7 linked regions of the Mus musculus genome follow. The protein of the gene in region 4 binds, or shares a complex with, the protein of the main gene of each other region. Links are inferred from orthologs where the notes say so. Each region holds a gene or a part of one and is shown on either strand. Other genes may lie near its edges. The genes, in order: Actl6b, Smarcd3, Smarce1, Arid1a, Smarcb1, Dpf1 and Phf10.

Region 1 (4,114 bases), on a different chromosome or scaffold from region 4:
ACTGGCTGCTCTCTTCCGGAGGCTTTGGGTTCGATTCCCAAAACACATGGTGGCTCACAACCATCTGTAATGAGATTCGATGCCCTCTTCTGGTGTGTCCGAAGACAAACAGCGACAGTGTGCTCGTGTACATAAAATAAATAAATCTTTAAGTATATATACATATATATTATAATCTCAAAATTTAGAAATAGTAAAAAAGAAGGCTTGCTAGGTTAGCCAGGTGACTATATGTTAGCCATGAGCACTCACATGTTTATTATATGTTATGTACAAAGTCAAGAAGGAAAAATGGCCATCAGAAAGATGAAGGAAAGGGGCTGGAGATGCGGTTCATGTCTAACATGCTGAAGGCCTGGGTTCCATCCCCTGACCCTCATAAACTGGGGTGTTGGCATAGGCTTTGTAATCTTAGTACCCAGGAAGTGAAGGTAAAGAGACCACAAGTTCAAAGCCATCCTCATATATATATTAGTTTGAGTTTGGGCTACATGAGACCCTGTCTTAAATAAAAGAAAAGCCAGTTGTGGGCTGGGCAGTGGTGGCGCACGCTTTTAGTCCCAGCACTTGGGAGGCAGAGGCAGGCAGATTTCTAAGTTCGAGGCCAGCCTAGTCTACAGAGTGATTACCAGGACAGCCAGGACTACACAGAGAAACCCTGTCTCGAAAAAAAGAAAGAAAAGAAAGAAAGAAAGAAGGAAGGAAGGAAGGAAGGAAGGAAGGAAGGAAGGAAGGAAGGAAGGAAGGAAGAAAAAGGAAAATCTAGTCGTGTGCTGTACTGGAGGCAGCGGCATGGAAATCTCTCTGAGTTTGAGACCATTCTGGTCAAATAAATAAATAAATAAATAAGCCCAGAGACAAAGGTAAAAAGACACAGGAAGAGATGGAGAGGCATACTCCTCTGGTCCCTCAGTCTTCTCATCTCCTCATTTCTGTGATTGCATTTAGACTGAATGCGGTAGACTCTGGCTCAGGAGTCTGAGGATGGACATCTCTGGTTGAGAGGAGACCCCTCCCTCACCTACGTAAAAATATGAATAAATAAAAAAGACCAAGAAACGAGGGTCCCATGTCATCAGAAGGTCCCATTCCATCCGTTGCCCTGTGGAGTCCTCGTCTCCATCTCTTTCCTCTTTTCTCTGTGTCCATAGTCTTTGCAATTGGACCCTCGCCTCCTCCCAACCTCGGAATGAAGAAGCGGCTGTACCTTTAAAGCAGCGGCCCCCAGCCGGGTTATTGTCTCGCTTCATAACCAATCGGCCGCGCCGTTGGGGGCAGGGGATCCAGTGTTCTGATTGGCCGCCGCTGCGCCCCGCCCCGCCCGGGATCCCGGGAGCTGTCCGGCCGCCTCGGTGCTGATCCCGCCGCCGCCCACGGGCCGCGAGCAGCGTAGAGAGGGCACTATGAGCGGGGGCGTCTACGGCGGAGGTGAGCCGGCCTGGGGCACTGGGCTCTCGGCCTGGTCTACAGCCCTGCATCCCGAACCCGCGCGTCCCAAGCCCTGAGCATCCCTGGGCCTGTCACCTCCGTACTGCATCAGGTCCAGTCTGAGGTTTGGGTCTCCCACTACTTCTGCTTTCCATTCTCTTGGGGTTCCCAAGTGTACACTGCCTCTCGGGCCCTGGACCTTTCTTTTCCCTGCCAGGCCGCTAGGCAAGAGGGAACTCTGGTGGCTTTGACCCTCTACTTCCAGAACGCCCTGAAGTCCAGGTGGATCTCCCACCCACTCCCCGCTGAAGTTTAAACTGTGGCTATAACCCCAGAATCCTCTCCAAGCTATATAGGGAGACAGTTTGGGAGAGGTCTCCTCACAAGCCTGTCTCCTTGCACAGATGAGGTGGGGGCGCTCGTCTTTGACATTGGCTCTTTCTCAGTCCGAGCTGGGTACGCTGGGGAGGACTGCCCCAAGGTGAGCCTTCCAGTCCCCTCCCCAAATCCCAGGGGCTCGGACACCCTCTGCCAGGCGGGTCGGCCTATGAACAAATGCGCACAGGTCAATTCAAGTAGCTCACCTGAGTGGAGACAGGGGAAGGACCCCGGGGGTGGCTGAGGGCCTTGAGTGCAATTGAACCAGGGACTAGCAGGGATGATCCAGCTGGGCAGGGTAGTGCGTTCCTTTAAATCCCATCACTCTGGACGCAGAGACATGCAGATCTCTGTAAGTTCAAGTCCAGCCTGGTCTACAGCGACAGTTCCAGGCCAGCCAGAGGTTCACAGTGAGAGCCTGTCTCCAAAAAAGAAGGGAATAATCTAGCTCCCTGCTCATGTTCCTTGTAACCAGGCTGACTTCCCCACCACTGTGGGGCTGCTGGCCGCAGAAGAGGGGGGCGGGCTGGAGCTGGAGGGGGAGAAAGAGAAGAAAGGGAAGATTTTCCACATCGACACCAATGCCCTGCACGTGCCTCGGGATGGAGCGGAGGTCATGTCGCCCCTCAAGAATGGCATGAGTAAGGGACCCTCACCCACTACTTTCTGAAACAGACTGGGAGCCCCACGCCCAGTGTGTGGCTGCCGATCTCCATACCCACAGAACCTTGCTTGCTGCTGCCCAAGTCCCAAGGGTCTCACTGTTCCCTACAACTGCTGGGATTTCAGACCAGTTCCCCTAGAATTCTGGAACTTAAGGGGGGTGGTGCTTGTAAGCAGAAGTTGGACTCACCTACCTTCAGACTTGGCCTCCCTCCTTCCTTTACTTCCTGTCTCTGATCCTTGCCTTCCTTCCCACCTTCCCATCTATCTCTCCACGCTGGTCCTCTGTCCCTAGTTGAGGACTGGGAGTGCTTCCGAGCCATCCTGGATCATACCTACAGCAAACATGTCAAGTCCGAGCCAAACCTGCACCCAGTACTCATGTCGGAGGCTCCGGTGAGTGCCTCATCCAGACCCACGTCCAGCCCTGAGTCCCTGGAGACACATCCTTTCTGCCATCACCTCTAATGTGGAGTCGCTACTATCTGTCACTTCCCTTCCCTTTCCAGATTCGTCCTGCTCACACTGTCATCTTCTGTCACCTCCCTTCCTCCCTGGCTTACCCTCCATCCCGCCTTCTCTCTTCCAGCTCCATCCACTCCATTGCCCTGCGTTGTTCACACACACATTTTTTGGTCCATGTTATACATATATATGAATATTACCAATGTAGCTAAGTTGTGAGAGATCTTGCCTGGCATGCAAAAGGTTCTGGGTTCAAGCCTCGCTACTGAAGGGGGGAGGGGAAGTTACAGTTGTAATCCAAGCACTCAGGAGGTAGAAGCAGAAGGATCAGCAATTTAAATCAATATTCAACTACATAGTGAGTTCCAGGACAGTTGTGACTACATAGAGGCAGCCACCAGTTAACAATAGGTCCTCTGCTAGGGGTAGGATTTAAATGGATCATTTCATGCTAGGATTTCAGTTTGGATATATATATATATATATATTGTTTGCCCGTTTTATTGTTTGTTTGCTTATTTATTTGTGTGTGCACACACACATATGGCAAGGGACAAATTGCAGGTTCTCTCCTTTCTCCTGTGTATTCTGAGATTAAACTCAGGTGGTCTTGCTTGGTGGCAAATGTCTTCACCTACTGAGTTCTCTTGCCAGCTCCATTTGTCTGTTTCTGAGACAAGCTCTCCCTGTGTAGCTCATGCTGGCCTCAGACTTGAGATCCTCCTGAGGGCTGTGCTGACTGGTGAACACCACCAGATCTCACCCTATCCATATTTCTAAACATCACATATGTGCAATGCCCATGGAGACCAGGAGAGGACATCAGAGCCCATGGAACTAGAGCTAGAGGCCACCCACTGTGGGTGCTGGGAACTGAACTCGGGTCTTGCCAAGACCAAAGAGTACTCTTAACCACTGAGCCATCTCTCCAGCCCCTTTCTGTGTTTGTTTGTTTTGCTTTGTTGTTTGATTTTTTTTTTTTTTTGAGACAGTGTTTCTTTGGGTAGCCATGGCTGTCCTGAGATTAGCTTTGTAGACCAGGCTGGCCTTGAACTTACAGACATCTGTCTGTCTCTGCCTCCTGAGTGCTTGGATCAAAGGCATGTGTTACCATTGCCTAGCTCTCTGCATTTGAAAAACTGACATATTATTTTTGGTATGTGTGTGTGTTGTTTGTGTG
Region 2 (4,223 bases), on a different chromosome or scaffold from region 4:
TCAAAGAAAACAGCGACCTCACCAAGGTCACCCTGCTCTTCCTGGCAAAGGCAGCACCTGGCGGGCCCTGCTCCCCGCTGCTTCGCTGCGGTGAGGGAGGGGCTGATCTCCTGCCCTCATTCTCCATTTCCACACCCCACTTCTGGGTCTGATGTGTTTTGTACTTGAGCCCCTATCTCCATTTCGGAGCCCCCTGCTTTTGGCACCTCAATCTCAAACATAACTGGTACAGCTAACTCCAGGTCTCCACACCCACTGACTTAACCTGCCTCTTTAATTTTATTTCTCCCAAGATGATACAAGAGACTGGGCAAGGGGACCTGCGGGTCTGGTGTCATCAAACTCTGCCAGGTTTTCTTGAGTGGCAAGTGGGGAACGGGACTAGAAGTGGACTGCCAGTGCAGGGATGTGAAGGAAGCAGCATCTGTAGCAGTATCCATTTCCCCCTCCCATCTGCCCACATCAGAGACAACCTATTCCTCACAATATCCCAGAAAGGGTAGAAATTGGAGGGAAATGAGGCAGGTTGATTTTCTCTGGCCACCAGCTCTGGGCAGTCAATCAAAAGAGATGAGATGTGAATGCAAGTGGAGTGTTTCAGATTTCACTTGTCCAAGCCCAGGAAGGGGGCTGAGGCTTGGGGACCTAGACCAGGAAGGGTATTAGGGAGAGGGGAATGAAACCCCTATTATTTAAACACTACCATCTCAGGCTAGGGATGTAGCTTGGTTAAGGGCTTGTGCAATACATGTGGTGCTCTGGGTTCGATCCCCAGCATCAAATAAACTGCACATGATAGCACATACTTTTTTTTTTTTTTTTTTTTTTGAGACAGGGTTTCTCTGTGTAGCCCTGGCTGTCCTGGAACTCACTCTGTAGACCAGGCTGGCCTTGAACTCAGAAATCCACCTGCCTCTGCCTCCCGAGTGCTGGGATTAAAGGCGTGCGCCACCACCGCCTGGCATGATAGCACATACTTATAATCCTAATCTTGAGGTGAAGGCAGAAAATCAAGACCACCCTCTGATATATAGTGAATTTGAGGCCAGCCTGGGCTACAGAAGGCCATGCACACACACACCCTTCTCATCTTGCCCCCTGGATTAAGAAGCCCTAACCCTAACCCTGGGCTTCCTTTCTCCTCTTACATTGCTTACCTCTGAGGTCTCCACCCAGAGCCAAGCAGCTGTCTCTGCCCATCTCTTCTATAGTCAAACAGGCCTGTCCCTGAACTTGCCTCCCCCATTCCACCTGACTCTGTCACTCACAGCACCAATGTCACCAGCGTGGAAGCTCAAGCCTAGCCATTCTCCATCACTATAGAGGGGACTCTAATCATCCAAGAACCGAACTACCAAGTTGACCACATTCAATTCCATATGCAGAGCCTCTTCACTGGATGGTAGTCTTTAAAGCAACTACTCTTAAGCAGCTAGGTCAGGATTGGTAACTCCACTAACCCATAGGGCTGCCTTGGAATTTATACCCCAGAGATCCCTATGGCTAGAGAACAGGCTGCCACAGAGAAGCCCTCTTCCCTATCAGCCACTCTCCTATTCATCAAGGCCACTGATACTGTTGGGTCTAATGAGGCCCTGAGAAGAAGGCTTCTAGGGGCCCCCAGGAGCCTGCCATCAGTAACAGCCTCATAAGGGTCAGATTCTGGGGGCCCTTGCCTCTCACTGAAATGGTGCTTCCTGGAGTCACAACCAAATTTGGCCATAGTAAATATGACTGACTCTTCCCTCCATATGCCCAGGCTTAGAGCTCCTCACAGCAGGCTCTCCACCTCAATAGGTTCCTGGGTACCCTCAGACTCCTCACATGTCTTCGTGAGTGTGTGAGTGTGTGTGTGTGTGTGTGTTAGAACGGTATAGTACTATCCCTTTGGTTTCTAGGCCTCATGTCCCCAACTCCTGCCCCTCCTTCACACCTTTGAGGTGTTAAGGTCATCAACTTCTGGTGGCTGAGCCTGCCAAGGAGATCTTCTGACTGCTTAACTTGAGGTCTCACAAGTAGACCCTTCTCAGCTCTGACAGCAGGGCCAAGTCCTCAAGGCCCTCCTGCTAGGATGCAGAGGTTGTTCAGCAGAGAGCTTTTGCTCTTAGGTCACCTGCTCCTAGCTGCTCAGACCTAGTCGGAGTGACCCTGTCCCAAAGGATGAACAGGGACAACAGGCAGCCCTGCCCTAGCTGTGTGTTCGAGTCACCACCCCACCCCCACCCCCAGGGCAGGGGTAACACCTGAGCCCACCAGTAAAAGAATGTGAGACATGTCAGTTACAGAGGGGACCCCCCTCTTGGGGGAGGCACGGTGCCCACATCCCACCCCTTGCCCCTGAGAAGAACCCAAGCCGACGCCTCTCTTCCCGGCCGCCGCGCGCCCATCCCCAGCCGACCGCTTGGCGACGTGTTCGGATGCCAGGGCGCCCGCAAGGTCCCAGGGTTGGGCCGTGACCGTGCGCCCCTCAACCAAAGGGGTGGGAGAGCCGGAGCGCGCCGGCGGCCCCTCCCGATCATCCCTCCATTCAGCCCGAGCCAGCTCGCTCACCCTCCCCCGCTAACTTTCCCCCACTCACCACCCCATGGACCAGAAACTCAAAAAGTTTGCTTTTCGTGGCTTTGCGCGCCCCTCCGGCAACTTCGTCCGCGGCCATCGGGGTGGGCTCAGCGGCTCCTCTCACTCTCTCTCTCTCTTCCTCTTTCTTTCCCTTTTCTGCCTTTTTTTTCCTCCAACTCTCCCCTCTGAGTCCTGCTGGGCTCTCTCACACTTCTACTCGAGCGGAGTGGGGAGGGGGCCCCTTCAGGGCTGCCCTGACGGCCCACGGCCCACGCCGCCGCCGCCGCCCGCCCGCCGCCGCCGCCGCCGCGGCTGCCGCATTCCTGCACTGATAAGACAGAAATAGTCCGGCGGCCCGGGGTCTGCCTGCGACGCGCCGGGGACGGAGCGGCCCTCCTGTGCACTCCGCGTGGTCCAAGCGGCGCACAGAAGCGGCGAGACGAGCCGATCTGCCCGGAGGCTGCGCGATGGGCAGCTGCGCTGCGCCCAGGCCGCCCGGGGCCCATCGGTGGCGGCTCGGGGAGGGAACACCACGGGAGGTGACAAGGGGCTCGCCAGCCACTCTGCCCTCGCCACAAATAGTTTCTCGGTTAGGGAATTCGCCGACATGGCCAGGCAGGGAACAGACAGTTCCAACTTTTTTCCCCCAAGTGGCTCCTGCAGCATTTCTGAGGCCCTTTCCCCTGGGACCAGGCAGGCCAAGTAGGGAAACATTTGCTGGAAGGAATCTGGGGGGGAACCCGAGCCCGAAGCAGGCCTTGCTCCTGTCCCAGGGCCAGCGCGGTGGGTGTGCCGGGCTAGGCGGGCTCCCGGGCGCCCGCAGATGTGTGTGCCCTTGTCTCGCACACCGTGTGTCTGCACCCTTTTGTGGCACGGCGCAGAGGCTGTGGGTGTGGATGTTTATGTGCGTGCACTGACAAACGCCCAGTCTGTGTGCTTCCCTTCACAAGAGCCGCCGAGCCTGCGCGCGTGCGTGCGGGGCAGGACACGGCCTGTGTCTTTCAGCTCTGTTGGAGTCTATTTCTGGGCTTGTGAGTCTTTGTTTGTCTCTGTGCGAGAAAGTGAGGGCAATAGGGGAAATATTTCCGAAAAGGGGACATGGACTGGACTCATGAGAACAGGAGGAGTACATTGTGAGGAATGGCGCGGATCCAGGGTGGGTACTTGGGTGGGTAGGAGGAAAGGGTGAGGCAAGCAGGGCTTGATGGCTTTGGCGCGGAGACCCAGAGAGCTCGGGATTGGTGAAGTCCGCCCCAGAACCGAAGAGAAAGCAGGAGTGTGGGGTAGGAAGACGAGGAAACCCTAAATGGGACAGTGTGGATAGAACTGGCCATCCCTGGAGGGGAGGAAGAACAGAAAGGAGGGGACAAATCCTGAGATCCCTAGGTTGAGCCCAAGCTCCGCCCATTCCACAAGCCACGCCTGTCCCCACCTTCTGAAGGAGGAGTCCGCGGGTTTCAGGACAATCAAGGGTCAGGTTTATGGGCTAGCTGGGGCTGCCGCTGAGAGAGGGACAATGCCTGAGGGAACTTGTGGGAACACATACAATTTGAGCCCTCAAGACCCATTGCACCGAGGGACCCTAACCTTTGGCCCTTCAGAATGTCTTCATGGGTCAGGATAAGGAGCAGAGGAATGCTCTCCCAGTCTATTTGGCCTGTATC
Region 3 (3,500 bases), on a different chromosome or scaffold from region 4:
TATGGATTATTATATAATATTTTATTCTTGCAGGCAGCTTGTCAAAACAGTGGCAATTAACTGCTAAGTAAAACGTTAAATATCATGTGTTTAAAGTCATTTTCTTCTGATAAAAACATTTCTGAATTTGCAGTGATGTCTATTTTCTTTGGAGGAAATATAAGGATCTTGTATCCATGGACGAGTAGAAGAAAGGCGCATTAGAATTTTTAAGGGACTTTCTTTTCAGGTGGCAGTGAGCTCCTTGCAGTTGAATAATGAGTATATTTCACTCTTTTACAGGCGTCCTCTGGCATTACGATTCCAAAGCCTCCAAAGCCACCAGATAAGCCGCTGATGCCCTACATGAGGTACAGCAGAAAGGTGGGTGCCGGAGAGCTCCGCCTATGGCCTTACGTGCAATTTCAGGCTGGCTTGCCGTCTTCTTTATACATATTTGAGGGAAGAATTTTAAAACTTGTACTTTTTTAAGTAGTTCATTCTCATTCAGAAATCCAGAACTCAGGAGCATGGTTAAATTAACTGCTAAAATCTTTTTAAACAGATTAGTCTGCAGCCATGAAAGTGATATCTTTTTGAGAATATTGGAAAACATGAGAAGAATGTTAAATAGAAAGTAGAGTATAAGACTGTATATATTAATATCTTACAGTGGCGCACGCCTTTAATCCCAGCACTTGGGAGGCAGAGGCAGGCAGATTTCTGAGTTTGAGGCCTCTACAGAGTGAGTCCCAGGACAGCCAGGGTTACACAGAGAAACCCTGTCTCGAAAAAACCAAAAAATAATAACAATAATAATAATAAGTCTGGGAGTAGTTCAGTGGTAGAACACTTGCCTGACTACAGTAAGCGCTTAGGTTCAATTCCAAGAGTACCAAGTGAATTCATAAGTACAGTAAAAATATTGATCATAGTTAATACATATGTGTTTGGTAGTATGACAAATTAACTACCTTGAATTGACTTGAACAGTTAGAGACTTAGAGTTCATTTAATTCTCTACGAGTGTGAGCAGTGATTAGTGGTGCCCTTAGCTTAATCAGTTTCAAATATTTATGAGCAACTGACAGTGGTGAGTAAGATCCAGTGGGATAAGGAGGGCATGGGGTAAGCCAGCTGTTGGCAGTTTTGAAACAGGCTGATTGCTACAAAGGAGTTTGATACTGTCTTCTTTGCTTTTTCTTGTATTTAAACGTTTCCATATTAGAGTGTTTTTAAATGACTATATACTTAGGCACTAATATTGAATTTTCAACTATTGACTTTTTAAGGTCTGGGACCAAGTAAAGGCTTCCAACCCTGACCTAAAGTTGTGGGAGATTGGCAAGATTATTGGTGGCATGTGGCGAGATCTCACTGATGAAGAGAAGCAAGAATATTTAAACGAATACGAAGCAGAAAAGGTAGGAGGACTGCCTTGGCTTATTATTTATAAAAGAAACCAAGCGTGACCAGATGGCTGAGCCACACTGCAGTTTTGTCCACCAAGCTTCACTCATCTGAGTGGCACATTCTTTGTTCTGTCCCGACATCCTGTTTTACCTCTCCCTCTGATGTTCAGAGGGACAGTGCAGGTGGCCTGTGGAGTAGAATGGACATTATAAAACCAGCCCCTTTGACTTTCAGATAGAGTACAATGAGTCTATGAAGGCCTACCATAATTCCCCTGCGTACCTTGCCTATATTAATGCAAAAAGTCGTGCGGAAGCTGCATTAGAGGAAGAAAGTCGACAGAGACAGTCTCGCATGGAGAAAGGAGAACCTTACATGAGCATTCAGCCTGCTGAGGATCCAGACGGTAAGGTGGAAAACGGGGCTTTGTATATGTATTCTCTCTGAATTAGAAAAGAAATTTAGTTCAAGGCATTTTTATTCTTTTAAATGGAAAAGCATAATTTTAAGTCTTTTTGTTGTAGTAAGATTTTAAGTAGTAAGATTTTTGCGTGTGACTTTCTCATGGAAAAAATACTCCTTACAGGGTGGAAAATTATCAAAGAAAAAAAGCTGTATTTATTACTTATCAAAGTCTTTATACTCAGAATAGAGGATTTGTTTGATTTTCGAGACAGGGCCTCACTGTGTTGCCCAGACTTACCTGATTCTCCAGTCCCAGCTTCCAAATTCTGGGATAAATTTTTGCTGACACACCCTATCTTTGGTTTTTCGAGACAGGGTTTCTCTGTGTAGCCCTGGCTGTCCTGGAACTCACTTTGTAGACCAGGCTGTCCTCGAACTCAGAAATCCGCCTGCCTCTGCCTCCTGAGTGCTGGGATTAAAGGCGTGCGCCACCACACCCAGGTGACACACCCTGTCTTAATCAGGGTTTCTATTCCTGCACAAAACAAGCAAGCTGGAGAGGAAAGGGTTTATTCAGCTTCCACATTGCTGTTCCTCACCAAAGGAAGTCAGGACAGGAACTCACACAGGACAGGGACTTGGAGGCGGGAGCTGATGCAGAGGCCACAGAGGAATGAGTGCTGCTTACTGGCTTGCTCTGTAGATTGACCTTGAAGGCAGAGATCCCCATGGCTCTGTCTCCTGTGATGCTGGGATTAAAGGTGTGTACCAACATGCTTGGATCTAAATTTAGCTGGATGGGATTTTACCCCCAAATCCCTTAATGTCTTATTTCCTAGAACATACAATTCAGCTCCATTTGACTTCCTGGTGTCCCTTTAATACCTGAACCATATATTTTATGTTTTTCCTTTCTTTTTTTTTTTTTTTAGGTATTTTCTTCATTTACATTTCAAATGCTATCCCAAAAGTCCCCCAGACCCTCCTCATGTTTTTCCTTTCTAAGCTTGCTGCCCTTATTCAAAATGCTCTTCATGAGACTTAACCAGGGAACAAAGTCTCTACTGGGCTTTTTGAGACTTCCTTTGTCAGTGCAGTTAATATAAGTTCTCTTTACCTTAGCCTCAGGTAGACTCTTCAGGCAAGGGCAAAAAAGCAGCCACATTCTTTACCAAAATACCACAAAAACAGTCTCTAGGCCACATACTGAAATTCTTCTCCACTGAACCCCTTGGGCCAGGTCCGCATAGTTCAGATCACTCTCAGCAACAGTCTTCCATATTCCTACTAGGATGGCTCATTAAGCCCCACTTAAAGCATTCCAATGCTTTCCAAATCAAAAGGCTATCTGGTGTGCAGCCCTGTGGAAGGGTTGTTCGACATACACCTGGGTCATACACCACAGTTCTAGGAGGACATGAGAGACGGAAACGTGCAGAAAACCAAGACACAGAAGCCTTGTCTGGCCTTGTCTGTGAGGGCAGCATCCACTGGCTTCTTAGAGGAGTGTCAGAAGGTCCACAAGACTAACCTTGACTCACACCTCCATAGTCAGGGCTTTCTAAATGATTCTTCAGCAGCAAGCAAGCCTCTGTATGTAGCAGGGTTTCTTTCCTAAAGCACGGTCCCTGCATCTGTCTGAAGTGCGAGAAGGATTAGGTCTGGATGGAGAGATGGCTCAGCAGTTAAGAACACCAACTGGT
Region 4 (4,173 bases):
TACATTTGCTTTTCATAAAAAAATAGCCAGTAAAATAATTTCAGTTCTGTAACTCAACAGTATAAGTGAACAGTGTCAAAAACTACTCAAGACAAATGTATCTTCAGCGCCATCAAAGAACTCATTTATACCATCAGGAAAGTAACAAAAACGAAAACAAACAGCAAACCCATTGTAGAGAAAAACTCAGCTACTGTTCCAACAACACAGAATCTATTTCAGACTGCATAAAACATAACAAGCAAAATAAATCCAAGGTGCAAGCAAAATGCCATCGCCTCCTCTTTTGTTTCAGGCACAATGTAACAAGGGCAGCCTGTCTGGGACTCTGCTCCTGCTGATACAGTATTGCTGCTTAAACCTCCCTCCTCAAGGTCACAGCCAATTTCAGCTCTGGAATAAAAGGCGGATAGTGGCAGCGAAGGTTTGGGTTATCACTGGCAGAAAAGCAGAGTGTAAAAGTTTATGAGCTCATCAGGATTGTTGTACCATTACATCAGAGGCAATTATAAATGGCCAAGAGCAGAAGATGGGGAGCCAATCAGATCACAGATAGGATGTCAACCTAAGACCAACTGTCTCCTGGCTTTGACAGAAGGATTTTACCTCCATAATTCAAATCCCAAACCAAAGCAATCTGCACTTACTACTCCAATCACTCTGTGTTTACCAGCACTTCAGAGAGAAGCCCAGGCCACTGGGCCGCCGGAGACTGAGGCAAGAGGTGGCCCCGGCGGCCCAGAGCGAACCACAGTCGGCCTCGAGCTGCCCCCAAGCAGGCCCCAGCTCTCCCCCGAGGTCCCCCGAGCCCTAGGGGCCACTCTTTAAAAGCGTATATTGGGGAACGGCCTAGAGGAAGGCAAGGGGGATCAGAGGAGCGGCAGGTGAGCAAGAAAACGTTGCTTCTTTCTCCCGGATTCATGACACTGCCTACACCCCTAACCTGAACCCCCAGCACCCCCCCCCGCGACCGGGCCTGGCCCTTCCAGGCACACTTTGCTCTGCACCCCCCTGGAGACCCCCAGAGTTCGAAAGGACCAGCGGAGGAGGAGAAACCGGACAGACACCCCTGGAAAAGCCCCACACAAAGGCTGATCGAGGGAAGGAGAGGAAGGCAGACAGGCAGCCATTTTAAGAGAGAAGAGCCAGACAATGGCAGCTCCCCGGCAGTGGGGGCCCAAGCCCGAGGGGAGCCCACGGCCGGGGCCTGCTTCCCCGCAGCCGCCACCCAGCCCACCCCCCGGCCCCGCTGGCCCCAGCCCCCTCCCCGCTCGGCTGTGTACCTGAGGGGTCCGGGCGAGCGGCTGCCCCCCGCCGCCGCTGCTCCCGGGGCTCATGGGCGCGTGGTGGCTCCTTTGTTGGGCCCCTCCCGAGACGGCCGCTGCCGCCGCCGCCGCCGCCGCCGCAGCCCCCCAGCACTGCGAGGCCATGTCCGCCGGGCCTTTGCCCGCGCCCCCGTCCTGGGGCCCGCCGCCGTAGTCGCCCCCGGGGTAGCCCTGGTAGCCACGGGCCGAGCTGGGCGACGTGAGCAGTTGGTTGAGGGTGGGGGTGGCGGTGGGCTGGGGAGTTCCCCCGCCGGCCGCTGAGGGGCCGCCTCCCCCCATGGCCCCGAAGCGCTGCTGTGCGAAGGACGAAGACGACGAGGAGGCAGAGGCGCTGGAGGAGGGAGGCGGCTTGGAGCCGGCGGCCGCCGCCGCGCCGGAGCCCGGAGTGCCACCTCTCGGGGAGCTCAGCGCGTAGGCCTGGGGAGGCGGGGGGTAGGCGCTGCGGTTGGGGTAGTAGGAGTTGTACTGGTGGTTGGGGAAGCCGTGGTCGTGCGAGTTCTGCTGGGGCCCGGCGTAGGGCTCCAAGCCCCCGCCGCCGCCGCTCTGCAGCGCTGCCAGGCCAGGGCTTTGTTGTCCGCCATGTTGTTGGTGGAAGACGGCGGCCGCCGCGGCGGCGACGGCAGACGGGCTCCGGCCGTAGGCTTGCCCGAAGCCGTAGGCTGGGGGCGGCAGGGCGGCCGCGGCCGAGTGAGGAGGCGCCCCCACCCCGTCGCTGCTGCTGCTGCCGCCGCCGCCGCCGCCGCCGGGCGGCTCCGGGAGGTTATTGTTCAGGGCGGGCCTAGGGCCCGCGTTCCCGTTCGAGTTCTTCAGGTCCGGCTCCGCGCCGGGCCCGCCGCCGCTGCCGGCTCCGCCGCCGCCGCCACCCCCATTGCTCTCGGCCCCGTCCTGCAGCTCCTTTCCCAGCGGCTGCGGCGGCCCCACGGCGGGGCCCTCGCTCTCCTGCCCGGCGGCTGCCTTCATTTCCCCGCGCTCGGCCGCTGCCGCCGCCGCCTCGCCCCCCGCCTCCTCCCGCTGTTGCTGCTCGGCTTTCTTCAGCTCCGAGGGCGGCGGCGGCGGGTTGCCCAGGCTGCTGGCGGCGGCGGGGGCGACCTGCGCGGCCATGATCCCCGCTGTCTCGTCCGCGGAGAGACCCGGCCCTGTCTTCGTCTTCTCCCCCCTCCCACCCCGCCCCGGGGCCGAGTCCCCCGGGCTGCCCTCCCCACCCGCCCGGGCGGGCCTCGCGGGGCTCCGCTGCTGCGCTGCGCTCGCTCCTCTCCCCCCCGCCCCGCCGGCTCAGGCTCCGGGCTGGCGGCGGAGGAGGAGGAGGAGGCGGCGGCGGCAGCCGAGGCGCCGGCGGCTCAGCTGCTCCGGGCTCTGGCGGCTCGGGACCCGGCTCTCCCGGCTCATTCCCCCCAAGCCCTTGCCTGGGAATGAGGGGGGCGGTGGAGGCTCCGCTCCCCAGGGCCTGGCCCCGCTGTGACTCTCCGCTTTCTGCTGCCGGAGAAAGGAGGAGGGAGGGAGGGAGGGAGGCGAGGGGGAGGGGGCGGGAAAGGAGGGAGGGAGCGGGGGGGGAGGGGGGACCCGGGACGGGCGGGCGGGCGGGCGGGCTGGAGGGCGCGCGGCGGCGGACGGGGCGCCGGGAGGCAGAGTAGGAGCGCTGCTCTGGCGGGCGCCCTGCCTCGCCTCCCCGGCCGCGGCTCGGGCCGAGGCTGCTGCTTGGCGGCGGGCGGGCGGGCGAGAGAGCGAACGAGAGAGCGGGCGGGCGGGCGGCGGGACTGAGCAGCTAGAGCGCCCCACTCTCCTCCGAGTCCCCCTCACTCCGACACGAGGCTCAGCACTGCCATTTTACCCAGCGCCGTCGCGGCCGCCTGAAAAACCAGGACTGGAGCGCGGAGCGGGCGCAGGCCGTGGAATGGACTCGCTCCCTTCCCCTCACAAAGGAGGAGGGGAGAGAAGGAGCCGCGGCGGCGGCGGCAAGCCCTCAGCCTCTTTCGCTCGGCTGCGCCGCCGCCGAAGGCTTCGGGGAAAACCCGGCCCGGAGCCCGCGCCTCCGGAGCCTGCGCCGCCTCGCTCGCCGCGTTCCCAGCCTGGCCTGTCCCCTCCCGGCCGCTCCAAAGGGAGCGGGCCGCGTGAACTTTACCCGCGCCTGCAAAATTGGCCTGAGCCCGAAACCGCGGCCGCCGCGGCCGGGACCTGACCCCCTGGCACCGGGCCTGGGCTCTTGGCTGCGACTTAGCACCTCCGCAGCACTTTTCTTCTTCAAAGCCTTTTGCAGACCTGCTCTAGAGACCCAGCTGAGCGAGCCCTGCTTTTCCCCCCCTTTGGCTAGCCCCAAAGGAGGACTGACCATTGTTCAAACTATCGGTTCTCCCGTGCCCTGCCCTCATTAGCCCTCTCTGACAAGGCCCTGGGGGCATGAGGTCTGGATTATCTCCCCCCCCCCCATTTTACCAACAGACTGAAGGGAGGGGACTGCCCAGGTCACTTAAAGTCAGAGGGCAGAAGTGTGTGGCTATAAAAAGTGGAGTGAGTGGCCGAAGCCGCATCTTGTCTACTTAGCCAGAGAAAAGGAGGAAAAGAGAAAAGAAAGGCACTTACGTTGTGAACAAATCCAACCACCGGATCAGATCAGTGTCAGGAGGTTTGAAAATCAAACGTGGTCATCCCACCACTTCTCTTAAAATGGTGGCTACTGATGCGTTGGGGGCTTAAGACAGTCCTCCAGGCAAACCAAGCTCCATTAGCACTTCCTAAGGGAACCTAGCTCACAATGGCCAGTAGCCCAATCTTCAAAGGCAAGTACCTTGGAAGACTGTAAACAGCCCACAGAAGAGGCTCCAGGGACTGAAAGAACCTCTGTTCAAAAACC
Region 5 (3,500 bases), on a different chromosome or scaffold from region 4:
TCATTGCCATCCAGGATCTCTTCTACCTCTGAGGCTTTCAGGAGTGTCACGCTGGTGGCCAGGGTGGTATATCCATGATCTGTAAGCAGAGAGACCCCACTGCGGTCATCCTGCAGCAGTGTGAACAAGCTGCCAACCACGGATACAGCACAGGAGGTCCTCACATGCAGGAGGCTGGGAAAGCAAGGTGTAAACTCACTACTGCTGAGTGCTAGCGTCTTCCAAAAGGGCAACTGGCCTGAGGCTTTGCCTAGACATTCTAGTGGAGAAAGCCTCCGGTGGGATGGATCTGGAGGAATTCGCCTCCTTCGAGCATTAGCTCAGAGGCAGAGATGTTTGGAGTAGCTGCAGCTTAGTGGCTGCCAGGAAGGCTTCTGAGTAACACCCCAGTGGGAAGAGGTCTGACACTACCACAATCTAAAACACAATGCAAGTATGAGACGGGATGAAAGAGGACTACTTTTCTTTTAAAACAAGAGCCCAGAGAGTTGGAAAGAAGTGTTTCACTTAAGCAGAAGTTACCGTCCCCGAGCCAGTCCAGATGTGCTGTCTGGAAAATAAGACAGACTTCATACGCCGTGAGCCCCAGCTTTTCTAGAGCACCTTTGTCAAGAGCTGCGAGTTATTGACAGGACCTGCTTAGCGTCACTGGAGGACTCTCGTGGTTACAGGGCAGGAAGGAACACAGCAGAAAGACCAGTAGGACTTCATGGGAACTCAAGGAAGGGTAGGCAGAGCTAGTCAGTCACCATACTAGTGACTGTCCTCCACTTGTGGCACAAAGGATACAAAGAAAAACTGTTTTAGGCAACAGTGGGTATGTTTTAGTAGTGAATAAAAGCAGCTCTGGCTCCTGCATTAAAAGAACCCCCAGTTTACCATAATAGACAAAACTACATTAGCACCTACAGACAAGACAGACGACAGAGTGCTAGCGAGCAAGCATGCATGCATGCACACATGCATGCAGGCCTGGGGCAGCTCTCTACAGGGTGTCTTTGCTGAGTGGAAAGCAGTTTTGCCACCAGCCAGATGTCATACTGCACCCATACCCAAACCCATATGCTGGAGGCGCCAAAATATACGAAGAGCAGCGTCACGCTGCACAGAGTTGCCACAGCCCAGAGCTCGCACTAGTTTCACCAGCATCAGACTGCTCACCTGGCAAGCCCCAGGCACAGGGCCTGCCACACGGAATGGGTACATGCATGTGAGCTTAGCACACTGGTTGTCAAGATGAAGTATTTACAGGATGGATGTGCTGAGGGAGGGAAGTGGTAAAAGGCCCAGAGGAAAGAGAGTGCCACCATCTACAAGGATGACTACAGCAACACACTCACAGCAAATGAAGCAAATCTCAGCATTCCTAAAACGTTTTGAGACCAACATGTCTTCACAGCACCTGCAACTGCCCTGGCCCCAGTCCCTCACGCACCCACTGCCCCAGCCAGGAACATACAACAGTGGAGTACGGGAGACTCTATTCCTGAGCCACTCTCACCTGAGGTGTGTGTGCTCTGGCAGGGTGGCCCGCCCCAGGATGCTCCCTCCCGAACTAAGGTCAGGCTGCAATGAAGACACTGGAGTGAAAACGTTTTATCTTCATGACATAAGCGAGTGGTTTTGAAACAGGTTTACAAACCCTCGTGAAGACGCACCCTTAGTGTTAGGTTTTGTTTTTTTACCATGTGACGATGCCACTATTTTCTTCCTTTCTTCCACAGTGGCTAGTCGCCGCCAGAGTGAGGGGTATCTCTTGTACAGAGAACCTCGGAACATACGCAGGTAGTTTCCCACCTATGGGTAAAGCAAGAAGGCTCATTATGAGGGTCGGGCTACCTAGCACCACACTGAGACAATGCCTCCAGGCGCCAGGCTTTCGGCTGTCAGCAAGCACATTCTGCTGACATCAAGGGTTCACCAGCAGTGCACATCTGGTTGGCATCTGTGTCTCCTGACTTCAGAACCAAGGGAGGATCCCAGAGCTCAGTAAGAAGCTTGTGATTCGGACCTGACTAGAGATGTTGGCACTGTTCTGAAATGTAAGACTCCTGTGACCTTCTTTCATCTTAAGAAGCAGACTTTGATATTTTTACAAGCCAATAAACACCAAAAAGTCTTTAATTTTAGGCAGATGCAAGATAATTTGTCCCGTTGCCTATGTTGCTTTGTTTAGTAATAAAACTCAAACCAGAGATGCCAAAGAATTTTCTAGAGTCTAAAAAAAGCACTATATTAGTAATCCCTAGCCTATCCTATAAATCACGACTTCCCCCAAGTAACAGCGTCAGTTTGTTTGTAGTGATACTGTAAATATGGCCTTCATAAGAAGCCTGTCCTGTGGGTTTTTTAAAGATATGCTACGGTCTCACTGACTATTCAGAAATGCTATTTTCAGAGTCACACTGTGAGGACAACCAATAGATGGGTGTGAGGTGCTCACTCTGACAGTGAATCTAGGCCTTGTTACTCACCTGTCAAGTGCTTAAAAACCCTGACATTTTTCCCCTAAGACAGATTCTCACCATGTAGCCCTAGCTGGCCAAGAACTCACTATGTAGACAAGGCTGTCCTTGAATCAGAGATGGACTGGACCTGCCTCTGCTCACAGAATACTGGGATTAAAGGCACGCACAGCCACACCAAGCCCTCAAGTCTGGATTCTGCTTTAGAAAGGATCATTTCTATTATTCTTTTAATCGTATCTATGTATCTAGCATACATTTATTAAGTGAAAGTAGTCTCTGCACTTTCCTTCCAGAAAAGATTTCCATGACCAACAGCCAGAGCTGTTAAGCCCAAGAGCCAAACAGTCTATACAGAACACTGAAGACTCCTTGTTGCTGTTTGGCTTGTGGGTCATTATCACCCAAAGGTAAAAGTACTGTTTCCATTCATATTTAGAAAAAAGTTAGCACCAGGCAGTGGTGGCGCACACCTTTAATCCGAGCACTTGGGAGGCAGAGGCAGGCGGATTTCTGAGTTAGAGGCCAGCCTGGTCTACAGAGAGTGAGTTTCAGGACAGCCAGGGCTACACAGAGAAACCCTGTCTCAAAAAACAAAAAACAAACAAACAAATTTAGAAAAAAGTTAGCAATACGATCAGCTATTTTTTTCCTACATAGTCCTGGTTGGCCTGGACTCACTATATAGACCAGGCTGTCCTTGAACTGACAAAGGTGGGCCTACTGGGTACTAGGACTAAAGGAATGCACTGCAAAGTAGTCCCCCATGGCTACAGCGAGGGTCCTGTACCATAAACCCTAACACCAGGCTGGGCCACTTGGCCCTCTTTGGAATACTAAATAAAGATTCTGGACTTGGACATTGATTTCTCCTGTGGCAGATGACAGGATGACAGGGGCACAGTCATATCCACTGAGAGCATCCTCCCCAAGCAGCTCCACAGACATCAGACACAGCTGCTACTGTTACTGTGTCTGCCCATCTGTCTGAATACTGAATTCATTTTCTATGACAAAGGGACCGAGGGCCATCCA
Region 6 (3,500 bases), on a different chromosome or scaffold from region 4:
TGAGATGTCCTCCTGTCCTCCACTTTTAACCACACCCAGGTCAGGGAATCCCAAGTGACAGCCAGCCATGCTGAGGTGCTATCTCCCAAACCCTAGCCAGGGAGGGGGCTGCCTTCTGGTCTCTCCAGCCCTCCCTTCCCCCCAGTCTTCACTCCCACCTCCCTCTTTGAGCTGCCTCCCGCTGCAGCTGCAGCAGCCCGTTGCTATGGCAACCACAGCTGGCTGGGTGGGAGCCCCTCCACCCCATCCCCCTCTTCTCTCCAGCAAGACAGGGAGGAGCTGGGACAAAGCCACAGGGAGGCATGGTGTAGGGGCAAAGAGGTGGGGGCCAGCCACAGTGGCTTCTACCCCAGTGAGGCCCCTTGGCTTCCCATGTTGGTGACACCCCAAAAGAGGTTAGAGATGGAAGCAGTTGTGGGCAGAGGGGTCAGGCCCAGTTTAATACACAGAACAAGTTAATTCACAGCAGAGGCAGGCAATAAAGGAGACTTGGTGGCAAGGGGGGTACTCCTGGATTGGGGGCAGACTCCCCCAGACCCTCCACCTCCCCCACTTGCAGTCTCAATTTCCCCTTTTAAAAACCCGAACAACAAACACACACAACCACGAGAAACAACCACACCCCCTTGCCACCCCCAAATGGCTAGCGAGGGGGGCAGGAGGCAGCCCAGCCTGGCTGGGTAGGGAAGGAAAGGGGTGGGAAGGGAGAAAGGAAAAAAAAAAAAAAAAAAAAAAAAAACTGAGTCCATTGCAATCTGTGCTTCTCACTGCAGGGGGCTGGCTGCCTGCCTGCCTCACCCCACCCGCCTCCCCGGCTGCACGCCCCAGGCCTGGCAGGCAGGCACCACGCGGGCGCAGGGCGGGGCTCTCAAGGAGGAGGAGGAAGAGTTCAAAACCATAGTTCACATGCAGTATCCACGGTGGGTACTGAGGAAGGGGTGGTACCCACCTCAGATGGGAGTTGAGACCATTGCAACTCCAGAAATGAGGTGGGGAGGCGCCATTCAGGAAACTGGTAAAGTCAGGTCCCCAGCAGACACTCAACAGTGCCTCTCCACCCAGCCAGGCTTTATAGGACTCTTTGTATATATTAATTTTTTTCCCTTTTTTTTCCACGTTTTGTCTTTTTCTTTAGAAAAAGGCTCTTTCCGTGCTGCTGGCTAGCATCCACTACCCCTCTATGCCCGCCCAAAGGCGGGGGTATGGCTTTGAGGAGAGCAGAAGCCTGGTGCCCATTTGTCAAGGGATGAAGAGGGGGGACAGGAGGGACCCTGTTGGACCCAGCCACCCACAGGGTAACATTCCACTTGCAGAGGGAGAACACCTTGCCCCCCCCCACTCTGGGCTTCACCCCATCCCTTCCACTGGGGACACCGGGTGGGGAGCGCCAGGAGCTCCAAGAGGCAGGAGATAGCACCACCCAAAGATCCTGGGGAAGCAGAGCCGGGCCTAGGTCAGGGTGATGTAAGCAGAGGCCTTTTCCTTCAAGTGCCGGAGACAGAGGTGGCAGCTCCAGCTCCCTGCGGGGGAAGCCAAGAGACAAAATTAGACTGGAGCCCGATGGAGAGATGAAGAGCGCCCCCCACCTGTCCCCACCCGGAGCACATGGTCTCTGCCACCAGGAAGACAACGTTCCAACCCACCCACCCCATGTCTCGCCCACCCCTTCCCTCACCTTCCGGGGGCTCCGCCATGGGAGGGCTCAGGCAGTACATGTGGTAACCTCGATCGCAGTCATCACAGAACAGCAGCTGGTCCTGGGGGGTGAGACCCGCCCAGCTGGCACCCTGGGGGCACGGGCACCAGAAACCGGGGTGGGGGGCTGGGGCAGGGGCTGGGTCCCAGGGGCCCTTCTGAGAAAACTGGCTCTGCAGCCTGTACTGTGGAAGTCCACTGGCCTTGTCTGACGACTCACGGAGTCGGATTTTGTACTGAGTGATGCTCAGCGGGCCAGATACCAACTCCGGAGGTTCAAATCCTGGCCCTACAACCTTCTGACCTTGGTGACCTCAGGCCTCCTTCTCCCTCCCTGAGCTCAGCATCTTCTATGTGTAGTGGGAACAGGAGCACCAGCCTCAAGGGAGGTGGGGAGGTGTCATGGGAAAGAATATAAAAGAATAAGGACGGTGGCAACCGTACTGCACGCTAATGCTGGTCACTGGGAGTTATGAACAAGGAAGACTTTTAGGCCTCATGGGCAGAGTGGCAGAGGCAGGCCGGAAGGGAAGCTGGGGATGTGCCCGGGAGATGGGGTGGGCACTCACGTCATTCTCCGAGGTGCCACACAGGCTGCAGGACTTGCATTCAATGCACTGCCAGCGGTAGGTCCGCACAGCCGCGGTCATGTTCACCGTGAACTGTAAACACGAGGGATGTCCTGGGGGTCGAGGGGCAGGGATGCAGTTAGTGAGTTGTCATATCCCTGGTGGCTACTGACCCCTGGGGAGGTAATGGCTCTATCCCAAGCCCTGACTCTGAGGTCAAGGCGAGCTTTGTGGTGGGACCCTACCCCTGAGACAGACATCCGGAAGCTGGACTGCGTGGCAGGCAGCTGTGTGTTGGCCACCACAGTCTCCTACTCAGCCACCATGACAACCACACTTTGCTCCCCAGAACACCATGGCAACCGCATTCCATTACCCACAGTGCTGTGGCAACCACGTTCTACCACCCACAACACTGTGGCCACCACAGTCTGTTAGGTATCGCACTAGGGCAGCCACATTCCAATACCCACAGAGGGGCTGCCAGCCCTCCTGCTAACCACAGCAACGTGGCAGCCAACTTCTGCCAGCCAGGACACTATGGCAACCAAGCTCCATAACAGGGTCCCCACACCTTGCTTCGCTGAGACCAAAGGCCAGCCCACACAAGGCACCAGCAAACAAACTTCCACTGACAATGCTTGCCGTGGGAATTTGCTCAGTCATTCTCCCACAGTACGGAGACACCTGTAGCCACTGCCCACAGCACTTCCCACAGAGCCTGACAACCACTACCCATATCATTCAACAGCCACTGCCCACAACACCCAACAGTTACAACTACATCCCCCCGAGCCAGACACCAACAGCCCACACAGCCTGTCAGCCCACAGCGCCCAGTAGCCACAGCTCCTCACAGCCACAGTCCACCAAGACATAATGACCACATTCTACTGTATTAAATCGCAAAGACAACCCACACTGTAACGACCACAATCCATTACCCACGATGCTGATGCGACCAGTCTTACTACCCAGGAGGCCTCCATGGAAAACCACATTATATTAACCACAGTTCTACAGAACACAATCCTGCTATTCCCACTACCTAGGCGGTGCAATTCATTGCTCCCATAGCTCTGTCCCCTACCCACAATGCCTCCCTAACTTCTCTCTACTCTCCACCCGGGGAGAGCACAAAGCCATGGCACCTCGTACTGTTGGTTCCTCCTGTGCCAGCAAGTCCGCTCAGTTTCCCACAGACCCCGGCAGCAGAGGCAGTCCCAAGGACAGGCG
Region 7 (3,500 bases), on a different chromosome or scaffold from region 4:
AATTTAAAAATTCATAGCCACCTGATAAACATCCTGAAATGACTGGGCACAAGAGCATGTTCCTTCCTTCCTGGTTTCTCTGTGTGTTTCTATCCTGCAGAGGCCCAGGCTCTCTCATACATACCCCATATCTTCCTAATGTGGTTTCATTCAGGCAGTGTAGTTTGCAAGACTGGTTGCACTGCATGTGTGTACACATGTTATCATACTGTGTATGCATCAGTAGACACATGATCAGTATGTGCACACAATCACACACACTCCATGTCCACGGCACATGTGTGCAAACGTGGGTAAAGTCCATGCATTTCCTCATCGTCTTTACACGACATTCTTTGGTGTAACTGTATCACCACAGTAGATAAAGATTTATTTCTAAATTCTGCACCATTAAAATCAGCATTTTTTTCTACTTAAATTTTGCTAACATCTAATTAAGTCCTTAGAATTAACTTTGTTAACAAATCTGCCAGGTCAAAATCTGTGAAAAAACTCTGGGTATGCTGTCAAAATGCTTTCCTCAAATATTCGATTAATTTATATTCCACAGAGCAATGTGATAAAGTTGGGTTCATCGTTATTTACTTCCATAGCTAGCTCCTCTCTGGTACCTGACAGGAGAGGCAGCACCAAGTGAACATGGGCAGAACCTGCTTTCATGGAGCACATAAGATTAAGTATGTGTTAGAAGCTGTTGTAGACAAGGGAATGCTACTCAATGAAAACAAACATTTGGGTGGCTACACTCTAACATATATAAGAGCCGTGGCTTAATGTGTATTTCTGCAAAAAGTCACAACCATAAACCACCTCAGGGCTACTGCCCTTCATGCTCTGAGAGCCAACATCCTGCTTTTTAGCAGCTAAATTTTTGATACGAGTTCTCTCTTCAGCAGCACATATACTAAATTTTTTGTTCAAAAAAGGCACCCCAAAAAACTAAATATCCTACACGTTAGTAAACTAACATTTTCCTACAGGAAGCCCAGATTAAGCAAAGGAGCCCAGGGTAATGTGTGCTGCCCCGGCCAAGAAAATGACGTTTCTCTGTGGCAAAGATCAGTCTATTTTGCTCAGTATTTTAATCTGCATAAACAGCATGTTGGGTAGAAGAATATTAATATTGAATACAATTCCCTATCTTGCTCAAAATAGTTTTTTAATATAAAATTTGTCTCCAAAAAAAAGCAATGCAAAACCTATTTATATCAACACACACTAAATATTCTTGTGAAAATTTTCTAGAAATATAGGCGACTGTCCTAGTCAACCAGTCTGGTAATAGAGTTCAATTTAACGTTCCAGGAAAGCAATCAGCAAATAACCCAAGAGTCCTCCCCTGCAGGTGCACAGTCCTACCGAAGTGCCTTTATTCTTCCGCTTCTCATCCCCTCCGCCATCTTCGCCATCATCTGAGTCTCCATCACTATCTAGTGCCGGGAGCTCTGGGTCCAGGGGCGGCTCATACAGGGCTGTGTTTAATGGCAAGTACCGAAGCTCATCTGGTGAGTACCTAAGTTTAGAAAGGCTGCTTTCATTCTTCCTTGAATAGTAAATATGTAAAAACTACTAAATTTGCTTTATGCCTCTCACATATACTTCACACAAATGGGTAGGAAGAATTTCATTTTGGTCATCAGGTGGGGATAAATGATGCTTTTTCGCAATCAGAATATTTTTCTCCCCAACTCTTTCCCTTTACCCTCAAAGCAAGCAAACAATGATAACTGATGTGTCAGCAGACAGGAGTGGAACCCAGGCAGCCAGGACGTGCTCCTGCTCAGCCACACACCCGAGGCGTGGTGACTTGTGCACCGCATCCTTCCACTCACAGAACAGGCTCAGAGAGCCAATGTCTCAAGACTGACAGAATGACGGAACAATGTCATCAAGTGCAACAGTTAGATAAAAATTAGCAAACAGTTTTTAACAGCGACTACTTTAAGACACTGTACAGCATGTACTGCAACATTTAAGTCTCCCTTTGTACTGTCCTGTCCGGCTGCACGAAGCCCTCCTGGTCTCAAAGCGCTATTGTTCAGGAGCTACCTCAGCACTAAAACACCAGAGCAGAACAGACAAGGTGGAAGAATACCAACAGATTTTCAGAAATTTCTGGACTGAAAAAAATTTTTGAAGTTAAAAATTTACACAATTTAAATTAGAATATCAAACAGCAAGTGCTCTGCCTTGCTATAAATTGGGTTTTCTGCAGAACCCCTACTCTGAGAACTGGTCTCCAGAATGAAGTCTACTGCTGGAAGCAAAGCAGAGATTCTGAAACAAGAACAACCCATTTGTACTGGTTTGAAAGGGTTTTGGTTCCATGTAAGATGGAAACAGGAAGTAAGTACACTTCCAGGGGTGTGGCCATGTGTGCCGCCATGGCACTTATCTGTCCCTTCTTTTCTCTCTCCTCCCACTGCTGTCACGTCACTCTCCACTCTGCATGTGTGAGCTCCACTCAAGTGAGGAGAGGAGAGGATCCTCATTTCACAGGCGCTTCCCGAGGATACCAAGCTCCGGGGCCATGTGCCACACAGAAAGCACTGGAGGCCGGCCCGTGCAGACAGGGCGGGCAGAGGCAGCACTCCTGACCTCACCAGCAGGCCTTCACTTCCAACAGAATGATGCTCTTTACACAGAACCCAAGAGGAAAAATGCAGACACAAATCCTACACATCTTTTGGTGTCACTGATAAACATAAATTTCTAGGAGGCCCAAAAAGCAATGATAATGAAAGTACTGACTACCTCTTATAATACTCCTGGAACTGTCCCGGGATGAGAGCCACTGGGTAGGAACTGACCTTCGTTCGGTCTGTCGGCAACACTTTGTACTTTCCTTGAGGCACTTGGATAACCTGTGTTAAGATCAAGAAATGTGAAAACTGATTCCAACCTGGGAATCAAGGCTTCAAGAAAAGAATCCCCATGTGTACACGACATCCATGTCCCCACACTATAGAAAAGCTAGCAATGTAACTAACACAGTAGCAGTGACCGAGGGGATAGGTGGTGCCTCCCAGCTGTGTGCTTGAGTTCTGTGCTTTACTTCCGTGCCTGTTATTCACCATGTGCACAGGCTCTGAAGGAAGGCAATGTGAAGTCTCTGGCTCACCATGGTCTTTTGTGAAGTGTGTAATTTCTTTGTAGCTCACCTGGCTCCTTCTATGAAATGTAGGGGACATTTGTGTAACCTCACAGGACTTCCATCAAAACCAAATAGACAAGCTCAGTGTGCTGCTCTTACCCACCCTCTAGGGACATGGGAGTTAGATACATAGTGTTCACCTTGCTCGGTAAACTCAATCATAAAGCAGAGAGATTTCAGAAAGAAGAAAAGGAAGGAGGGTGGAAGGTGAGAGGCAGGAAAATGGTACCTTAACTTCTATGAGAAAATAAACACAGCTAGCATAATAATAATAATAATAATAATAATAATAATAATAATAATAATAATAATAATAGACAGTGACCATTCTGCAGTAACAAAAGAG

The links.
Region 1: Arid1a (region 4) and Actl6b share a complex: the UniProt entries of both Homo sapiens proteins name them as parts of the neuron-specific chromatin remodeling complex. The link is inferred for Mus musculus from reciprocal best matches to the Homo sapiens genes ARID1A and ACTL6B.
Region 2: Arid1a (region 4) and Smarcd3 share a complex: the UniProt entries of both Homo sapiens proteins name them as parts of the neuron-specific chromatin remodeling complex. The link is inferred for Mus musculus from reciprocal best matches to the Homo sapiens genes ARID1A and SMARCD3.
Region 3: Arid1a (region 4) and Smarce1 share a complex: the UniProt entries of both Homo sapiens proteins name them as parts of the neuron-specific chromatin remodeling complex. The link is inferred for Mus musculus from reciprocal best matches to the Homo sapiens genes ARID1A and SMARCE1.
Region 5: Arid1a (region 4) and Smarcb1 share a complex: the UniProt entries of both Homo sapiens proteins name them as parts of the neuron-specific chromatin remodeling complex. The link is inferred for Mus musculus from reciprocal best matches to the Homo sapiens genes ARID1A and SMARCB1.
Region 6: Arid1a (region 4) and Dpf1 share a complex: the UniProt entries of both Homo sapiens proteins name them as parts of the neuron-specific chromatin remodeling complex. The link is inferred for Mus musculus from reciprocal best matches to the Homo sapiens genes ARID1A and DPF1.
Region 7: Arid1a (region 4) and Phf10 share a complex: the UniProt entries of both Homo sapiens proteins name them as parts of the neural progenitors-specific chromatin remodeling complex. The link is inferred for Mus musculus from reciprocal best matches to the Homo sapiens genes ARID1A and PHF10.

Annotation. Positions count from the first base shown.
Region 1 is NC_000071.6:137,552,232-137,556,345, forward strand, and holds the start of Actl6b (actin-like protein 6B), read left to right. Parts: upstream 1-1,314; 5' UTR 1,315-1,403; coding exon 1,404-1,428; exon of another isoform or gene 1,429-1,552; intron 1,553-1,832; coding exon 1,833-1,909; intron 1,910-2,281; coding exon 2,282-2,447; intron 2,448-2,764; coding exon 2,765-2,865; intron 2,866-4,114. UniProt on the Homo sapiens protein: Involved in transcriptional activation and repression of select genes by chromatin remodeling (alteration of DNA-nucleosome topology).
Region 2 is NC_000071.6:24,599,203-24,603,425, forward strand, and holds the start of Smarcd3 (SWI/SNF-related matrix-associated actin-dependent regulator of chromatin subfamily D member 3), read right to left. Parts: upstream 2,801-4,223; 5' UTR 2,657-2,800; coding exon 2,579-2,656; intron 2,563-2,578; exon of another isoform or gene 1,934-2,562; intron 1-1,933. UniProt on the Homo sapiens protein: Involved in transcriptional activation and repression of select genes by chromatin remodeling (alteration of DNA-nucleosome topology).
Region 3 is NC_000077.6:99,217,518-99,221,017, reverse strand, and holds part of Smarce1 (SWI/SNF-related matrix-associated actin-dependent regulator of chromatin subfamily E member 1), read left to right. Parts: intron 1-282; coding exon 283-363; intron 364-1,271; coding exon 1,272-1,403; intron 1,404-1,626; coding exon 1,627-1,798; intron 1,799-3,500. UniProt on the Homo sapiens protein: Involved in transcriptional activation and repression of select genes by chromatin remodeling (alteration of DNA-nucleosome topology).
Region 4 is NC_000070.6:133,751,186-133,755,358, forward strand, and holds the start of Arid1a (AT-rich interactive domain-containing protein 1A), read right to left. Parts: upstream 2,801-4,173; 5' UTR 2,427-2,800; coding exon 1,284-2,426; intron 1-1,283. UniProt on the Homo sapiens protein: Involved in transcriptional activation and repression of select genes by chromatin remodeling (alteration of DNA-nucleosome topology).
Region 5 is NC_000076.6:75,915,115-75,918,614, forward strand, and holds part of Smarcb1 (SWI/SNF-related matrix-associated actin-dependent regulator of chromatin subfamily B member 1), read right to left. Parts: intron 1,798-3,500; coding exon 1,659-1,797; intron 80-1,658; coding exon 1-79.
Region 6 is NC_000073.6:29,314,501-29,318,000, reverse strand, and holds the end of Dpf1 (zinc finger protein neuro-d4), read right to left. Parts: intron 2,378-3,500; coding exon 2,265-2,377; intron 1,788-2,264; coding exon of another isoform or gene 1,758-1,787; coding exon 1,676-1,757; intron 1,521-1,675; coding exon 1,450-1,520; 3' UTR 415-1,449; downstream 1-414. UniProt on the Homo sapiens protein: May have an important role in developing neurons by participating in regulation of cell survival, possibly as a neurospecific transcription factor. Belongs to the neuron-specific chromatin remodeling complex (nBAF complex).
Region 7 is NC_000083.6:14,951,261-14,954,760, forward strand, and holds part of Phf10 (PHD finger protein 10), read right to left. Parts: intron 2,865-3,500; coding exon 2,755-2,864; intron 1,514-2,754; coding exon 1,360-1,513; intron 1-1,359. UniProt on the Homo sapiens protein: Involved in transcription activity regulation by chromatin remodeling. Belongs to the neural progenitors-specific chromatin remodeling complex (npBAF complex) and is required for the proliferation of neural progenitors.